Struthio camelus: one gene and its partner. The protein of the gene in region 2 interacts with the protein of the main gene of each other region in a pairwise test. Links are inferred from orthologs where the notes say so. Each region holds a gene or a part of one and is shown on either strand. Other genes may lie near its edges.

Region 1 (7,608 bases), on a different chromosome or scaffold from region 2:
AATGCTTCCACACACTTGTGTCCCCACGGGCTGGCACGTGGTCCCCGGGCTGCAAGCACACCAGCAGCCTTGGCCTTAATCGAGGTGGGAAACTGAGGCACGGGCAGTCAAGCCCAGCGCACAGGCGAAACCCCACCATCGCCAGGCGCCCCGAGTTGCCCAAACCGTGGCGGGACATGAGCCCCCAGCTCGGTGTGCCCCGAAGGGCGCTGGGCCCGGAGCCAAACCCCCACCGGGAGGGGCAGAGGCAGTGGGTGCTCTCGCTCCCCGGACCGTGCACGGCGCTGCCTGCTTTGCAGGGGCGAGATGGGCAGCGCCGGACACCCTGAGCAGCCCCCAGCACCGCATGCAGCGCCGGGCACCCCCAGCGACGCCGAGCACAGCATGCAGCACCGAGCACCCCCAGCACAGTGCGCAGCGCCCAGAACCCCCCAGCAACGCCCCGACCCCCCCGCGCACCTGGGTAGGGGGCGAGGCGAGGTGACAGCGAGGCGACGGCGCTAGGGCCGCGGGGCCCTCGGCGGCGGCGCCGCCGCCGCCCGGGGAGCGCTGGCGTGCGCGTCCGCTCCGCACGGACCCCGACGCAGCGCTGCCGGCCCCGCCCCAGCCGCGCTCTTTATATCCCCTCTGGCCCCGCCCACGCGACGCATCTCCGCCAATGGGACTCCGGGTCGCGAAGCACCGCCCCTTCCCTGGGAGGGGCGGGATGGCGGGGCTCCGCCCCCTCTCCCCCCACCCGCGCGGGGTCTGTGCGCAGCGCCGAGCACCCGGCGGGCGGGCGGCCGCAAGGGGCGGCTTTAATGCAAAAAAAACCCGAGCAAATTAAAAACTGCCTCGAACCGAGGTTCATTAAAGATGCTCTCTCTGGAAATCTGCTCTCGCTGCATGTGCCCCCCTCCCTCCCCAATGCGCGGTTTGCTGGGGTTGCTCTTGTCCTAGCCAAAACAGGAGGAAGCAAAACAAAAACATATATACATATATGTATGCACGTAAATCTATATATACACACACATATACAAAAAAAGAAAACCTTAAGTTAAAATTTAGCATTGGAAGTTAAATGTTAAAATGCAGCCTACAAATACTGCCAGCCCTAGAAAGTTGAAGAATTTAAATGTGTGATGATGCCGTTTCAGTACTTTGTTAATATTTAGCGAAAATATAGTGCCAACAACAAACAAGCTATCTAATGACCATCTTATGTAACGCGGCATTAAGAGAGAGCCAAGACAGCCTTTCTCACGAAATGCTTGCTCTGCAGAACCAAGGGGAAAAAAAGACAAAAAAAAAAAAACCCTAGCACAGTTCAATATTTGAAATTTCGTGGGAGAAAAAGATTTTAAAAATTTCAAGCAAAATATACCGGACTCAACCACATTTCAAATTAATCAAAAAAATAAATAAATAAAGCTTGAAGGGATACTGAACTGCGTCGGTTGTATTAGTTTCATATAAGAAAGGCTTGTTTGAGAAGAAGCAGCCTGCAACAAGGCCTAGGCACCTCCAGCGCTGAAGCACCGCTCCTCGACGCTTGGACACCAGTACAGTACGCTATATAAATAAAAACATACTGCTAAATAAAATATCGCTAAAATGCTGGAAGCATCGGTCCCAGCTCCAAACTTCAGACCCCAGAGGGCCTCGGCGCTCGGGTCTCGAGAAATTTATCTGACCTAGAATGAAAAAAATAGCCTAAAATTTGGGTGCTTCGGAGCAGCCAGGGAGGAATCACAGTGCTGACGGCAAGAATCCAGTTTGAGTTCCTGGGACGAAGCCTGCGCCGGGCACGTTCAGGAGACGAAGATACATTTCATTTGTAACCGGTCGAGAATCAATCGTTTTAAAAGCGGACGGATGACAAGATTTGGACGGATTTTCGCTGCGCTTTTCCTCTAATGAGAGCCTCCGAGTTTACTGCCGCTCTCTTTACAGCTGGCTTCTGAGCACCGTTTCGGTGTTTTTTTCTCTCCTTTAAGACCCCAACGGGAAGGATGTTAGGAGCCCCTTAGAGCCTCCGGTTGGGGATTCACGGCGGGAGGGAAGTATCTCGGCTCTCAGCGGGAAGAAAAATAGCTTTTCTGTCTGAACTAAGTGACTTGAAAAGAGGAGTCAAGGGTTCCCGCAGAGCATCCTGAGGACGAAGCCCCGCGTCCTTGCCGCGTGCCGCGGCCCGCTGCGCGGCGCGCACCCCGCTACACAGCAGCCTCCCCTTGCCTTCCGCGAGGCTAAAGGAAAGTTTTCAACTCCTTCGCTTGCACATGGCATCACTTAAACCCCGCTGTTACACGGGCTGCGCTCTCCGGAGGGGACCCCACGGGCGGACGCCGCCGCCGTCGGCCCAGCGCTCCCGCCTCGCTGCATCGCCGCCTCCAGCCTGCTGCAAAATCAGCTCCATCTCCCCCCCCCCCCAAAAAAAAAAAACCAGAAACAGCCGGTATAAACCTCCCACGGGGCTGCCCGGAGGTGGCATCGCCCAGGAGCCGGGTCACCATGCAGCGCGGGCAGCTGCTGCCACCTATGGATATAAATTAGCCTCGATGTTCAGCCCGGGTGCTCGGCTGAATGGGAAACGGGAGGGTGGGCACCGGCGGGAGCCTCCTGGCCGCGCAGGGCCACGCTCCCCTCCGGCGCCTGGCGGGCGCCCAGCGTGTCCGGCCGCGGGCCGAGCGCGGGCCAGGGTCCCCCTTGCACCACGCACGTCTCCCGAGTGCAGCCCGTAGCGAGTCCCAGGCTGCTTCGTTCGCTTGCGCCAAAAACTTAAGCCTCCGATCCGGGGCAAGCGGTGAGGAGACACGGAGCATCCAAGGCGGCGTAACGGAGGGTCAGCCACGCGAGCGCGACTCGGCGTCGCTCGTCCGACCAGGGCGTCTGTTTAACCCCCTTCGAAAAAGCCGTGAGATGTCTGGCTAGCAGCTACTACTTGCTGCGATAAAGCAGGCGCTAGAGAAATTTTGGTTACACAAGCAAGTTCCCACCTGCTGACCCCTCCGCTCCTTTGGCCAAGCCTTGGGGTCGAAGGACGGTGCGCAGAAGGGGACGGTTCAACGTGTGTGTCTAATCAGTAAAGCAATGTGCTAATCCGGGCAAATCTGGGAATTGCCTTGCAGAAACCAGCGGAGGAGCTGCTCAGCATTTATCTTTCCACAGAAAACTGTTAGGCCGGTGCCTCCTTTCTAGGATGAGCGCGTGCGATTTTGCTACCAATCCGTGATACAAAGCACGCAAACAAATCGATGGCTAATGTAATTCCGCAGGTTTCGATGCGGGTCAGCGCAGCAGTGAGTCTGCTCATTACTGTCTCCCTCTGGATGCGCCTGAAGCTTGTGCTGTTGGCCAGATGCTTCCATTAGCAGCCCTTCATCTACGGTGATGAGAAGATGCGGGCAGTGGGGCTCTCTCAGCTCAGTGGCCGCGGTTTAATAAGAAAAGCTGTCCCCTTGCATTGCTTTTCTTGCCTCGCGGACGTGAAGGGCTCTCCAAACGAGCGCAGCGACGGGCGGCAGCTTGATACAGCCCCGGACTCCCTCGCTGTACAAACAGTGCAGTCCGGTGCTGTGCAGCATGCCGAAAATGGCACTGAACCACAGGGCAGAGGCGTCTTATCTCCCTGCTGCTTGCCCTGCCTGGGGAACGAAGCGGCGCCCCGGGATGGGATCTCTCCCCGTCTCGGCGCGCGCTGAGATTTACAGGATCAGCTCCTCCGGCCGCTGCAGGTGTGACGTCCACCGCTCGCCCAGGCGCCGAAACTGCTGGGGCGTCCCGAAAGCAACGCATTCGAGACTACCGTATCAAGAGGCAAGTTTTCGCAGAGGACAAGTGCCTGTCTTGGCTGCTCCTCGGAGCGACAGCGGGTCAGACGGAGCAGCTGGATTGTATTCTGTGCAGCCTCTTTTGCGGCAACCGCGTCTCAAGGGAGCGCGAAGAAGCAGAGCGGCAACATTATAATAGCAAAGGGGAAGGTGAAGAGCGGAGAAGGAGTTAAAGTCGTCAGAGGAAATAGGCGTTTGGATGACGAGCTGCTTCGGCGCTGGATGTGGGGAAATGCTCCTAGGGGCAGGACTTTAGACCTCCGCTGATTTTGTAATCTGGTGCTGGCTGGTTTGCACGGCTCGGGGTCGGCGTTTCAGGCAGAGCAGGGTCTGCGCGAGCCGGCCTGGGCTCCGGCGCTGCTTTCGGGGTGGTTTTTACCTTTGAGACCACTCTTTCCAACTTGGCTGAATTTTGGCCAAGAGCCTCCTGCAAGCGATTTGCTGGGGACACGGCCACGCTATGCCCGGCCGTTATTAAAACGCTGCTCAAGTGACACCTTGCTCTGGTGCGCTCCCACGCCGGGAGCTCCGGGGCCGGGAGCCTTCCCGCGGCGGCGGTTAACCTAAGCCAGCCCTGCCTCGAGGCGATACTGTCCCACGAGAGCGCACGCCGCACCGGGGGCCCGGCACTGGGACCCCCCCATCATCCCGGATGAGCTAGGGAAGCCGGAGCCGAAGGCCTCGTTGTCTGGAGGTATTTTTAGGCTGCTTCATCCTGGAGAGCCGGATTCAGTTGCTAAGCAGACGCCGTTCCCAACCCTCCTCCAGCCCCTCAGCATCCCCGCTCGCTAGCGCAGGATTGGGCCCATCGGGCTGCTGTGTGCTGCCCTCACCCCGGCTGGCACCAAACCTTCGCTCGCCGAGCTACAAGGATGCCGGAGGGGGCACGTCTTTGCCCTATCTCAGCCTTGTAATTTCCCATCCGCTGGAGCGATTCGCCCGTCCCGGCACCTCTGCCCGTCCCGGTCCGGCGCGGTGACGCTGCGCCCAGGAGGACGGCAGGCACAGCAGCTTGCGGGAGCCCTCCGAGAACAGGGGCGACAGCGATCGCCGTCCCCAGCCGGCTGGGCTGCTGGAGGGCTTGGCCGTCTCGGCATCACCTCCAAAGTTTATTTTTAAACCTCTGGCTGTGGTTTAGCGGGATCAGCAGCGTGTGCTGCTGCAGCGCCTTGGGCCGTTCCCCGCTGCCGCCCCGCTCCTTCGCCGCCGCTGCCTGCCCAACGCTGCTGCCCTCGCCCGGAGCTGCCAGGCCTGACCCGCTCCCCGAAAGCCTTCTGCTCTCCGGCACCTCGGCCTGAGGAGCAGTAAGTCTGGCCCACGTCCGAGCCGCCCTGAATAGCAGCGTAAACATGCACCAAAATCCGCCAGGCATCACACCCGCGAATCCATCCCCTCAGAGCTGGTACCTTACTCCAAGGCCAATCCCTTTCCCTCGGCACCGGCCACGGCGCTGGGAATCGCCACGTGGCAGAGCCGTGGGCGGCTGGTTTCGTGGGGCTTTGAGCTCGCTTGGTTTGGGCACACAGTAACCTACAGCTGCTGCAACGGCGGGGTGCAAAGGCAGGGCTGGCGTGGAGGGAGCCGAAACCCCCATCATGCAAAGACGGAAACCTTACAGTCTTCATCCCTTCCCTTCCCTCCCCAAGCTCCTCTGCTGGCTGGTCCGATGCCTGTTGCTTATGGGGATGCAGAAAACAGCATGAGGCCCCACGTTTCTTCTTTTCAAGGCAAGTATCTCTCTTGCTTTGAAAGGCAAGGAGGAGGAAAATAGCAGCTTTTGCCCTCGGGAGATGCTCAAAGAGGTCATCCGTTGTGGCCATGCAGTCTGAGTCTCTGGTCCAGGCCTCGAGACAGTTCGCTGGCATTTCTCCATCGCGCCTCCAGCGTCCCCGTCGGCGAGAGCGGGGCTTCTGGAGGCTGTCGGGTCGGGCATCCCCTGTGGCTAACGCCTGCGTTGCTAAAAAACCCCGCCTTCAAACTGAGACGCGATGCATTTTGCAGAGTCAAAAATGCAACAGCTCGGCGAGCTGAACGCATTACTCATGGGAATAAACACCCCCGGCGAGAAGGCAAATTCAGACAGGCAGCTTGCGATGTTTACAGCCCAGTTACATACAAATTAAGACGCTGCGGATTACTCGTTCTCCCATGCAAACTGCAGGGGGCCTTCCGGGGGAAAAAAAAACCCCAAAAACCTCATTCATTATGCCTGGGCAAATGTGAATTTTAGCAGAGCTTAAAGCATCAGTCCCAAAGGTGGGGGCTGCGGAGTCGGCGGGAGCCGGTGCCGCTGCCCTGGGCATGGCGCGGGCGCTGCGTGGGCATCAGCCCTTGCCCGCAGCACGCAGGCAGCGGTGCCCTTCAGAGAGGAGTCTCTGTCTTCTCGAATGATCCCAAATCATTCGGTGATGGCTTTTTGCTAGGCTAAAAGAAGGGTGGGGGTACCAGAGACTGAAGAGGACGCATGGGAACGGCTTCACCCGCCACCGGGAGCCGTTCCCGAGCCAGATGGATGCAGACAAGGCGCTAAACTTCCAGCCGCCCCCAGATTTTGGCTGTCCGGGTTTATTTTTTTTTGTGCATAGCTGAGGGTTTAAAGACAGATTAGTAATATTTTTCAGATGCTTGGTCAAGCATTGGGGGGAAGTGGTTCCCCTCTGGCGTGGAAACCATGCCAAGTGCTTGATGATCCAAAAGGATCGAATGTGTTCGACCTGAAACCCTTTGCCCCGGAGCCGGAAGGCGCGCGAGACGCCGGCGGACCTCAGCAGACGGCTATCACTTTAAGTCTCGCAGAGGCTGGGCATCGCGTGGCTCAACCTAGCCCGGATTAGCCAGGTCTGACGGCGCTCTATCCTTTCCGTGCCCTGGACTATTTATAGTCTGATGGGCTGTCAGGCTCTGTTTCATTGTAGAAATAAAATGCACGCTACGGGTAGACTCTGGCCCGGTTTCCGTACGTGCCAGCAAGGCAGACTGGGCGCCACGGTGCACAACCTGCTTGTCCAAAGCAGACATGAAACTGCAAACATGTCTGTACGGGAAGGATGATCCACCTGCGCTCCCGAGCGGCGCTCGGACAGCGGCCAGGTTCTCAGGGGCGTCTGAGTTGGGCGGCGTTTGGCTGGCCTTAGGCTCCCCAGTGCTCTCATGAATTTGTCCTGCGTGGTTACCTGCCATGCTATTTTTAATGTTTGCTAGATGCACTCTTCATTTCTCTTTCTTCTGTCTGGGGAAAAGGGTAAAAATTCAAACCAGCTATTTTTACTGGAGAAAAAAAGGATACAAAAGAGGCCCATTACACACTCTCCATATCCCTGGGCTTGCAGGCAGACAGACCCTGGGTTTTGCTCTATCCTGTGACTTCAATGAAGGCCGAAGTCTTTACCAACGGACCCAGGCTGGGTCTCACCGCAGGCAATTCCCAGGCTGGCTGCAGTCATTGCATTGAAAGGGGAGATTATTCTTGGCAAAGCACTAAAACACATGCAGGAGGAGCAGGGAGCTCAAAAACATGGAGCAGGCGGCGTCCCCTGCGTGGTACTGCACGGGCCGTTAACCCGGATCGAAGCAGCACGAAGGGGCTGCAGGAGCCGCAGCGGGAGTTTGGCCTCTTCAGCAGTGCCGAGATTTCACCAAAGGGGTTAAACTTGTGTCGGGCACCAACGTCAGTAGGAAAACCTGAAGCCTCTGGCAGCGCTGGGGTACCCCAGACCTGCGGCAGCTCCACTGCTCCTAGCGGGACCAGCTCTGAATGAGTCCCTTTAAACATTGCCTTAAGCCTTCCTTTTGGAAGTTT
Region 2 (8,116 bases):
GAACTAAATGGTCAGTCATTTTGCCTGAGAGTTTGCTTTGCCTTGTTTGAAATAAAGGTGAAATGCAAAGGCTTTTAGTAAAGTCCTACGTATGAAGCAAGACTCTATCAGAACAGTAGAAGTTTTATACAGACAGTTCTCCAGAGGTGGTACAATTCTTGCAGCAACACATTCCCAATAGTAACACATCCTTGCGAAACATGAGCTGTGATTTCAGAAAGTCACATTGTCTAATGAGTCATCAGAGACAGCTTCCTTGTAGCAAATTCAAGCAGCAAGTAATCTGCAGGAAGGACCACAGAAATGGGTCCTGGATGACCGTGGGGTCCCTCTGAAGCCTGAGATCACTGATCAGATGCTTGGTTTTAATAGAAGAAGGTTTCACAAGAGACAGCTAGAAGGTGTACAGTCCCAACAGACTGGTATAGAGAAAAACATGGCACTCATAAGCAGGACACTTTTGCTCACCATTGGCTAGAAGATAGCGTACGAGCTCTTCGTGTCCACACAGGCAAGCATAATATCTGGAAATAACAAGAGAAAGAAAATTAGAGATATAACATGAAGAAAATTTCAGTGCTGGGGTACATCGCAGCATGCAGACCTCAGCACTGAGCTATCACTGACAAGCTTAGAAGATGATTCCTCACAGAGTGTGAAATTGCTCCCAAATAGCACAGAAGTCTGATCCCTGCAACACTGAGCAGGATCTGTCCTGAGCAATGCTAGGCCCTGCTGTCCTGCAAGGAGATCTCAAGGTCCCAGTCTTGGTTCAGCATCTTTTGTTGCACTGTGAGTTCATTTCACAGTGCAACACTCAGCAATTCCACCGCATTCTCAGAAACACTCTCTGCTCCTTTTACTGTCAGTCTGCTGCTGCCCTAGGATAATGAGGGAACAGCACTCAAAGCAGAGGTACAGCAAATGCACCTCTCAAAAGTTCTGCTTAAGATGGATTTGTTTTTCTCTTCCCACAACCTAAGCCTTTTATGACTCTCTTTCAAATGAGGACCTCAAACTAGCCTTGCAACCTGCACTGCAGCAGGCAAATGTTAGTCCACTTTTGCTCTGCAGAGATACTTCATATGCTAAATATATTGTGGATGTCTAAACACACTTTGAAATTAGCATGCGAGGAGGTACAAAGCCCATACTATCCTTCTCACTACCAGCATGGTGATTCTCCACTATCTACTGCAGGTCCCCAACCCCACTAGACAGACAGTAATCCCACAATAGCACTACATTTCACCAAGCAGAGCCTTTACCTGAAAGGCTAAAATGCCACAGAGTTTGAGAAAAAACAGCCTAATTGGGCCAAGAACAGACTGCTTAATCCAGGTAATTTGGTTACAAAATTAACCATGCTTCTCAGCGCTTCTACAGCAAATCTCCTTCAGATGGGAGGAGAAGGACGCATCTAGCACAGTACCCGCAGAGGAGAGAGGCAAAAACTCCTGGCCAAAACTCCCACAAAGCAGAACCAGAGATATTTTGTAACAGTGCTGCTAGGTGCTGATGGAGAGAGGACAAAGGAGCTCCAAAAGCCCTAGCCTCCCACCCAGCCTCTGAGGCTGCAGGACTCACAGAGGGGTACTGTCCCATTTATCGCGGACGTTGATTTCCACATCTCGCTGCTCAAGAAGGTATCTGGAAGAGAAGGGAGAGCAAAGTCATAACTTCATGCAGTTGCTCAGTCAGCCACGTTTCCCCTCTAAAAAGAGGCGACCTGTTTTGCATAGTAAATTCCGAAGGCAGGACGAAAACTTGCATGAGGCCAGGGGAAGCAATGGCTGAAGGGGCATCAGTCGAACACACGACCTGAAAAGCAACGTTCTGCCACACGGCTCGACAGCTCCCTTCCTGCTGACCCCTAATGACACAGCAATTATGAACGAAGCCTGAGCACTCCAATAATACCTTCATGTTCTCCTACAACGCTCACAGTCTCGACACTTACAAATAAGAGGCCAAATTTACAAGGCCAAAGCTGGACTCCCATCCTGCCTGTGGCTTTGCTGCCACAAGTAACATCATCAGTGTCTCTCCAGGCTGTCCTTAATTCCTGTCGCTTTCTTGCCCTGCACATTTGGGCTATATCAAACGCTGCCAACTCCTCCTCTTTGGCAACTCTAGAAGTTGGCCTTTGCCTTGCCTCCTACGCAAGCTGGCTCTTGTTATAGAGTGCCCTCAATTATTGCAACACAATTTCTCCTGACCATGAGTAAAGGTCCCCCTGAGCCTTCACAAAGATTCTCAAGTCATTTTCCTCTTCCATCACATCATTCCCCTCTTCTCCTCTCTCCATCTTTTCTTGTCTTAAACTTCACCTTCTTCTAACTATATTCAAAATCTAAAGCGATTCCTCTCCTCTCTACTCAGCCCTCTCTGCTCAGCTCCACGTTGTCATCTTGCCCCCTCTGCTTTGACAGCATTCCCAAACTGATCATTTCCCTACCCTCTGTTCTACGCTGTCATCTTACAACCTCTGCAAGGCCACCTGCAGGGCCTCCCCATCTAGGGAAAAGATACAATTTACTGCTTGCAGTGCTCAAAAAGCACTGGATATAAACATTCTCCAGACCTCTTCCATCTGCCTATTTATCCTTAACTAGCAAGCACCTTGAAACACAGATCACCTTCTGTTTATCTGGAGAGATCCACATGTCAGGAGCAAGAACAACTGAGCAGAGCTGAAAAGTGAAAAGCAGTCTTGGACTCAAACCCAGAGATGCAGCAAAGAACACCTCACGCGCTCTCGGCCTTCGGGTTGCAACGTTCCTTCACCAATGCAGACGAGACGGCCCTGTGACTCCCGATCTGAAATCGCTTCAGCTAAAGCACATTGCTTCAATAGTAGCAAGAGAACTTGAGCCAAAATTTAGCGGCCCGCTGTTTCTCAGAGAGAGCGCCACAGCCTCCAGGGCACGGCGTTCAAACGCTTCCACGACGACCGCGTTCCAGCGATCTCGTTCCCTACCACTGCAAACCTCACGTCCGACAGCAGCGAAGGAGCAAGGGAAGACAGCGGACCCTCGGCAGGACGCTCGCCGCCGCCAGCGCGCGCGTGAAGGAAGCGAACCGCAGCACCTGACACCCAGGGACCCGCGTTTTAAGAAAGCGGGTAAAAAACAAACAAACAAACCAAACCTAAGAACGAGAGGAAGGACGCAACAGAGCATCCCCCACACCCTTTCGGGGGAAAAAGGCGTTCATTTATTTTAAAAAGAGCAGTTTCTCCTCCCCACGTCCCAGCTCGCCGTGGCCGCGGCGACCCCGCGGGAGACACCCACCGCCACCAGCGGCGGCGGGGGCAGCGCGGCGGGCAGCAACCCGCCACGTTACGCGGCGAAACCGCCGCGGCCCGGCCCGGCCCGGCGGCAGCGGTCGGCCCCGGCCACCGGCCCCGGCTCCGGCCCCGCTCACCGCACACGGCTCACGTCTCCCTTCTTGCAGCTGGTGAACAGGTCGCTGGTGTCCATGGCCGGGGTAGGCCGCGGGGCGGCGGCGCCGCATTGACACTGCCGGGCCGGGCCGGGCCGGGGGGTGGGGGGGGGAAGGAGCCAGCGGACGGGGCCGGGAGGGGGCCGCGGCGGCGGGACGGAAGCGGCGGCGGATGTAAACACGGCGGTGGGCGGGGCGGGCGGGAGCGGCCCCTCGCGCCTGCCGCCGCGCCGCGCAGCGCCCCCTGCGGCCCGGAGGAGCGGGCTGGGCCGGGGCGGCTCTGGAACGCGGTGGGGGGGGGGGGGGGCGGGTTCTGGAGCGCGCCGGGGGGCAGGTGCTCGGGGGGGGAGGGGGGGATGTTCTGGAACGTGTCTGGTTGGGGGCTGCTCTGGAACGCGGGAAGGGGTTTCTGGAGCGCACAGGTGGGGGCTGCTCTGGAACAGGCTGGGGGGGTTCTGGAGTACACCTATGGGGGACTGCTCTGGAGCATGCGGGGGGGGGGGGCCTGCTGCAGAACGGGCGGGGGGGTTCTGGAGTGCACCTGGTGGGGGGCTACTCTGGAACATGCATGGATGCATTGTGGGGGGGCTGCTCCAGAGCACACCTAGAGGGGCAGACTGTTCTGGAGCTCAGCGGGAGGGGTGGTCCTCCTCTGGAAAGCATGGGGGGGGGGGGTTCCTGCTCTGCAACGCACACAGGAGGGGTTCTGCTGCGCAACGCACGGGGGAAGGTCCGTTCTGGAACACGCCGGCCCCATGGCAGCTAGGATAACCCACAGCAAGGGTGGGACAACCCCAAGGACACAGCGGCTGTGAGTTCCAGCAAAGGACTCGCGCCTGAGTCAGTGTTCACACACCCGGGAGGTGCATTTTATTGCAAAGAAAACCAAGCCACGACCCCGTGGCTTCCAGGGCGGACACAAGCGTTTTCGATGTTCTCCAGCAGCAACCCTCAAAATCAGCCACCGAGCCCCGCAGCGACCAGGGCGTCGAGACCGCGCACCCAGCCTGAGCTGACGGCTGGGAGCCCCATTTGTAGGCGAGATGAGCCCACAGGGGCTGCCGTGGGTCAAGGGGGGGCCGATGTGCGTGGTGTCTCTCTTGATGGAGCACCAGGTGCCGTGTCCCCCCTGCAGGGAGACGTTTGCTTGCCGGCTGGCGAAGACGGACTGGCACCCTTTGCCTAGAGGGCTCCTCGAGGTGGGATCTTGAACCATGTTCTCGACCCGACATGCACGTTGCAGAGTGCGGGTCACTCCACAGCGTCCCCCTACTTTCTGTGGGTCACAGGGCAGCCTGCCTGCCTAGCACGCATTGGGCTACCACCCTACGTTACAGACCCTGCTCTAGGCATCAGGGCAACAGCTGGGGGCAACTGCAGCTTGGTCAGGCCAGCTCGTATCTGCTGCCGCCTCGTGGAGGGGCGCGTCCCCGCTGGGGACAGCCACCCTGCTGACTGCAGCTGAGCCTCCGGCCAAGCACTGGTGCTCCCCGGGGTGCAGAGCTCCTCTCTGGAGAGCCACCTTCAATTCCCAGTCTCTTGATTTCTGGCCATGCTCCTGGAGGGGAAAAGTGGAGGAGAAAGCAGGAACAGGGCTGCAGCCCCGTATTGCTGTCCAGGGTCTCTGCACTGGGGACTCCCGGGAGCAGCCCATCTCATCGCTTTGCAGGCAGGGACACACTCACACGAGCCATCCCTCGCACGAGCCCCTCTGCTCATAAGTGCTTCCAGCAGCCCCCCGTGTGAATAAAACAGGTGACTTGAAAATAAATATCCATAGTTAAGAGGGGAGAAAAAAGTCCTTTTTTATTCTTTAACTCCCAGCAGCCACCAGGTGTCAGTGTGATCAAACAGACGGGACTACAGTGAAGTCCTAGTAGTGAGAAATAGATTTCCAGGAATTATTGTCTTCTCTGCTCTGTTGCCTGGCACACCCCTCTGAGAAGTCCAGCTTTGACAGCGTTTGTTAAAAACAAGTTTAACTACATTAAGGTGATAGAAAAGCTTCCTGTTACAAATGACAATATAAGGTTTCTCCTCCTCCTTAAAGCCTCCCCGTGCAGAGCTGGTAACCCAAGCCCTGAACAACAGAACCAGAGCGAAACAGGCTACCAATAGCCTCACTCTGCAGCACTTCCCAGCCCGCAGGTACCGAGAGATGACCCGTCCGCAAGGTTTGCGGGATAGGGACAACAGTGCAATTGACTTAACAAGATCAGCCTAGTGCAAAAAATAATACAAAGAAGAACAAATGGAAAAGGTATAAAAAGTATCTCCGTATTAAAATGAAATGCTCCTAACCAGTAGATTTCTGGAGCTAAACTGAGATCACACAGGCAAGCGCATCACGTCAGAGACATCAGAACATTGTTCTCAGCTTGCTGACAGTCACCCTTGGACGCTCTCAAGACACCCTGGAGCACTCCAGCTTCAGAAGAGAGCACTACAGTCTCTGGAATACGATCAGGCCCAAATAAGCCGGAGCAGCAGATCAGGAGAGCTTGCTAGCTGACAGCCTCAAGAGTCAGCATTGCTTTTTAATGAGCCTGGATGGCCTCCTTGGCCTATTTAAAGTTTGAAGACTTTAGACCAGATCAGGAGGTGCCGAGCCCAATTGTGACACAAGAAGCATTACTTTATCAGCACACCTTGTTGTTTCTCTGCATTAGTAAAGTGGAGAGAAAATAGGGCAGCAAAGCAGCTCTTAGCAATGAAGTGCACCAAGGAAGCGTTTTGTGGGTGAACTAGTTCACATTCGATTGGTGGCTTTATCTTTTTAATAGCCACCGAGTATTAAAAGTGTGTTTAATGAGGATTATTGGACTTATAAACATTTATACGGTGAAACTGCCTAAAGGCCACAGCTATGCCAGGCCTTGTTATGCTAAGTGCTATACAAACTCAAAATTTAACTCCATGCTTTAAATCACTTACCATGTCATAACAACAACTTACGTTTAACCCTGTGAGCCCCAAAGCGCCATCAACACAGTCCCTGAACTTGTGCAGGTTCACTGCACAGACCCACCGAACTGGGCAGAGGCTGTCAGTGAAGGGCTGTCAGAGCAGGGCTGCATGTGGCCTGCTCATGTCTGTGGAGCGTCTCCCCTCACCAGCCACCCACCGTCAACTGCTGAGGCGGGAGAGGGAACTCCTCCGGGCAGCTCTGCAACTCTACTGACAAGATAAAAAAGGAGCCAAGAGACACCGTCTCCTATATAACGCAGGGAAAGGTACGGAGGCAGGACAGAAACACTCAAAATTGGAATCTGGATAGAAAACCAAAGGTTATCAGCTTTCTTGAATCCATAAGAGACTGATATCCACATGGTCCTACATTGAAGTAATCTGCGATTCAGTCTGTATGCAAAGTGCTATGCAAAATGAAACTACAGACTCTTCTGTATCTTGACTTTAGGCACTCACATCAGGGATGAACATGCTAAAAATATCTGTACATACAGGGATAGATTTACAGGCCAAACATCAGGCCACATACCTGGGGTCCTTCTGTACAATGATTCCCTTAAAGACCAAACATGAAGCTGCATCTTGCACAAAGCAAGCAAGCAGCTAATCATAAATGGAAGCAAATACTATTGCCTTTGACCAAAGCGAGTCTCTCGATCCCTCGGTGACAGAAGAAACAAACGTTCTGGGATTTCAGGCTCACAAGTAGTTCCGAGTCTCAACTTAGGCAGGGCTCAGAGAACAATTATGCATATTCACGTGCCTTTTATCACACATCTTCAGGGAGCTGGGGCCTCAAAGCTGCCTGAGGCGTGCCTGAGAAAGTCATTGGGGAACTCTTAGATCTGATGCTGATCTCACCTAAACCGGCTTTTATACTTGTTTTAATGCAGCAATTTTAAAGATGTTACCCCTGATTTACACCAGTGTGACATTAAACACTTTCGCCTAAGGCAGGTTCCTGAAAAGGAAAAAACAAGGACCAGAAAACTATCTGTTTCTGAATTTTTACTTTTTTCCTGTTTAAAAGTCTCACATAGGCTGTACGTTCACCTCAAAAGATTAACTGAAGCCAAACTACCCTGGAAAATGGAAAAGGAGTGGAAAAGGCCTGCGAATCTAAGACTAAGACATAGGCAAGGGATACTTTGCTGCTGATTTCACAGGCTGTTAGGTGAAAGAGGCAGATTAAAGTCTTTTTTTGAGCAACTCTCCAGCCTAAAGCAGATTTCCAGCTAAGATGCTGCACCATGGCACCAAATTCTCTGCAGTCAAGCAGCCCAAGAAAGGTTAAAGTGCTCAAACTCTGCAAGCGCAACTTGGAGCTGTAGAACTGGAAAAGAGGTTGGGGCTGTTGGGGGTAAGAGGAGAAAAAGAGATCATATGGGGATGTTTTCCCCAGATGTAAACATCAGCCCATCCAGTTAGCAGCGAATGCTAGAGCACTACAAAACCTCTCTGCACACGCGGAATGCAAACGCTCTACCCAGGACATCAGGTGAGTCTTGGCTCCCCGTATCCCGAATGAGACAGGTTTTACCGCACCTGCAGGGATAGATCATGATCTTCGCTCTACAGCTATAAACCCAGATGCCAACAAGGTCAGGGTCTGGCTGCCGTAACCCCAGCTGGACTCTCAAAGTGAATTTACTCCCCAAAGCTGGACTCCTGGTGGCATACAGCCTCACCACCTTGTTTCTCG

The links.
Region 1: the proteins of ABTB1 (region 2) and EEF1A2 interact in binary tests that used the Homo sapiens proteins (3 or more experiments, as listed by UniProt). The two-hybrid records come from large-scale screens. The link is inferred for Struthio camelus from reciprocal best matches to the Homo sapiens genes ABTB1 and EEF1A2.

Annotation. Positions count from the first base shown.
Region 1 is NC_090959.1:17,050,309-17,057,916, reverse strand, and holds the start of EEF1A2 (elongation factor 1-alpha 2), read left to right. Parts: upstream 1-4,106; 5' UTR 4,107-7,608. UniProt on the Homo sapiens protein: Translation elongation factor that catalyzes the GTP-dependent binding of aminoacyl-tRNA (aa-tRNA) to the A-site of ribosomes during the elongation phase of protein synthesis.
Region 2 is NC_090955.1:7,648,802-7,656,917, forward strand, and holds the start of ABTB1 (ankyrin repeat and BTB/POZ domain-containing protein 1), read right to left. Parts: upstream 3,242-8,116; 5' UTR 2,038-3,241; coding exon 1,961-2,037; intron 1,651-1,960; coding exon 1,588-1,650; intron 525-1,587; coding exon 469-524; intron 1-468. UniProt on the Homo sapiens protein: May act as a mediator of the PTEN growth-suppressive signaling pathway. May play a role in developmental processes.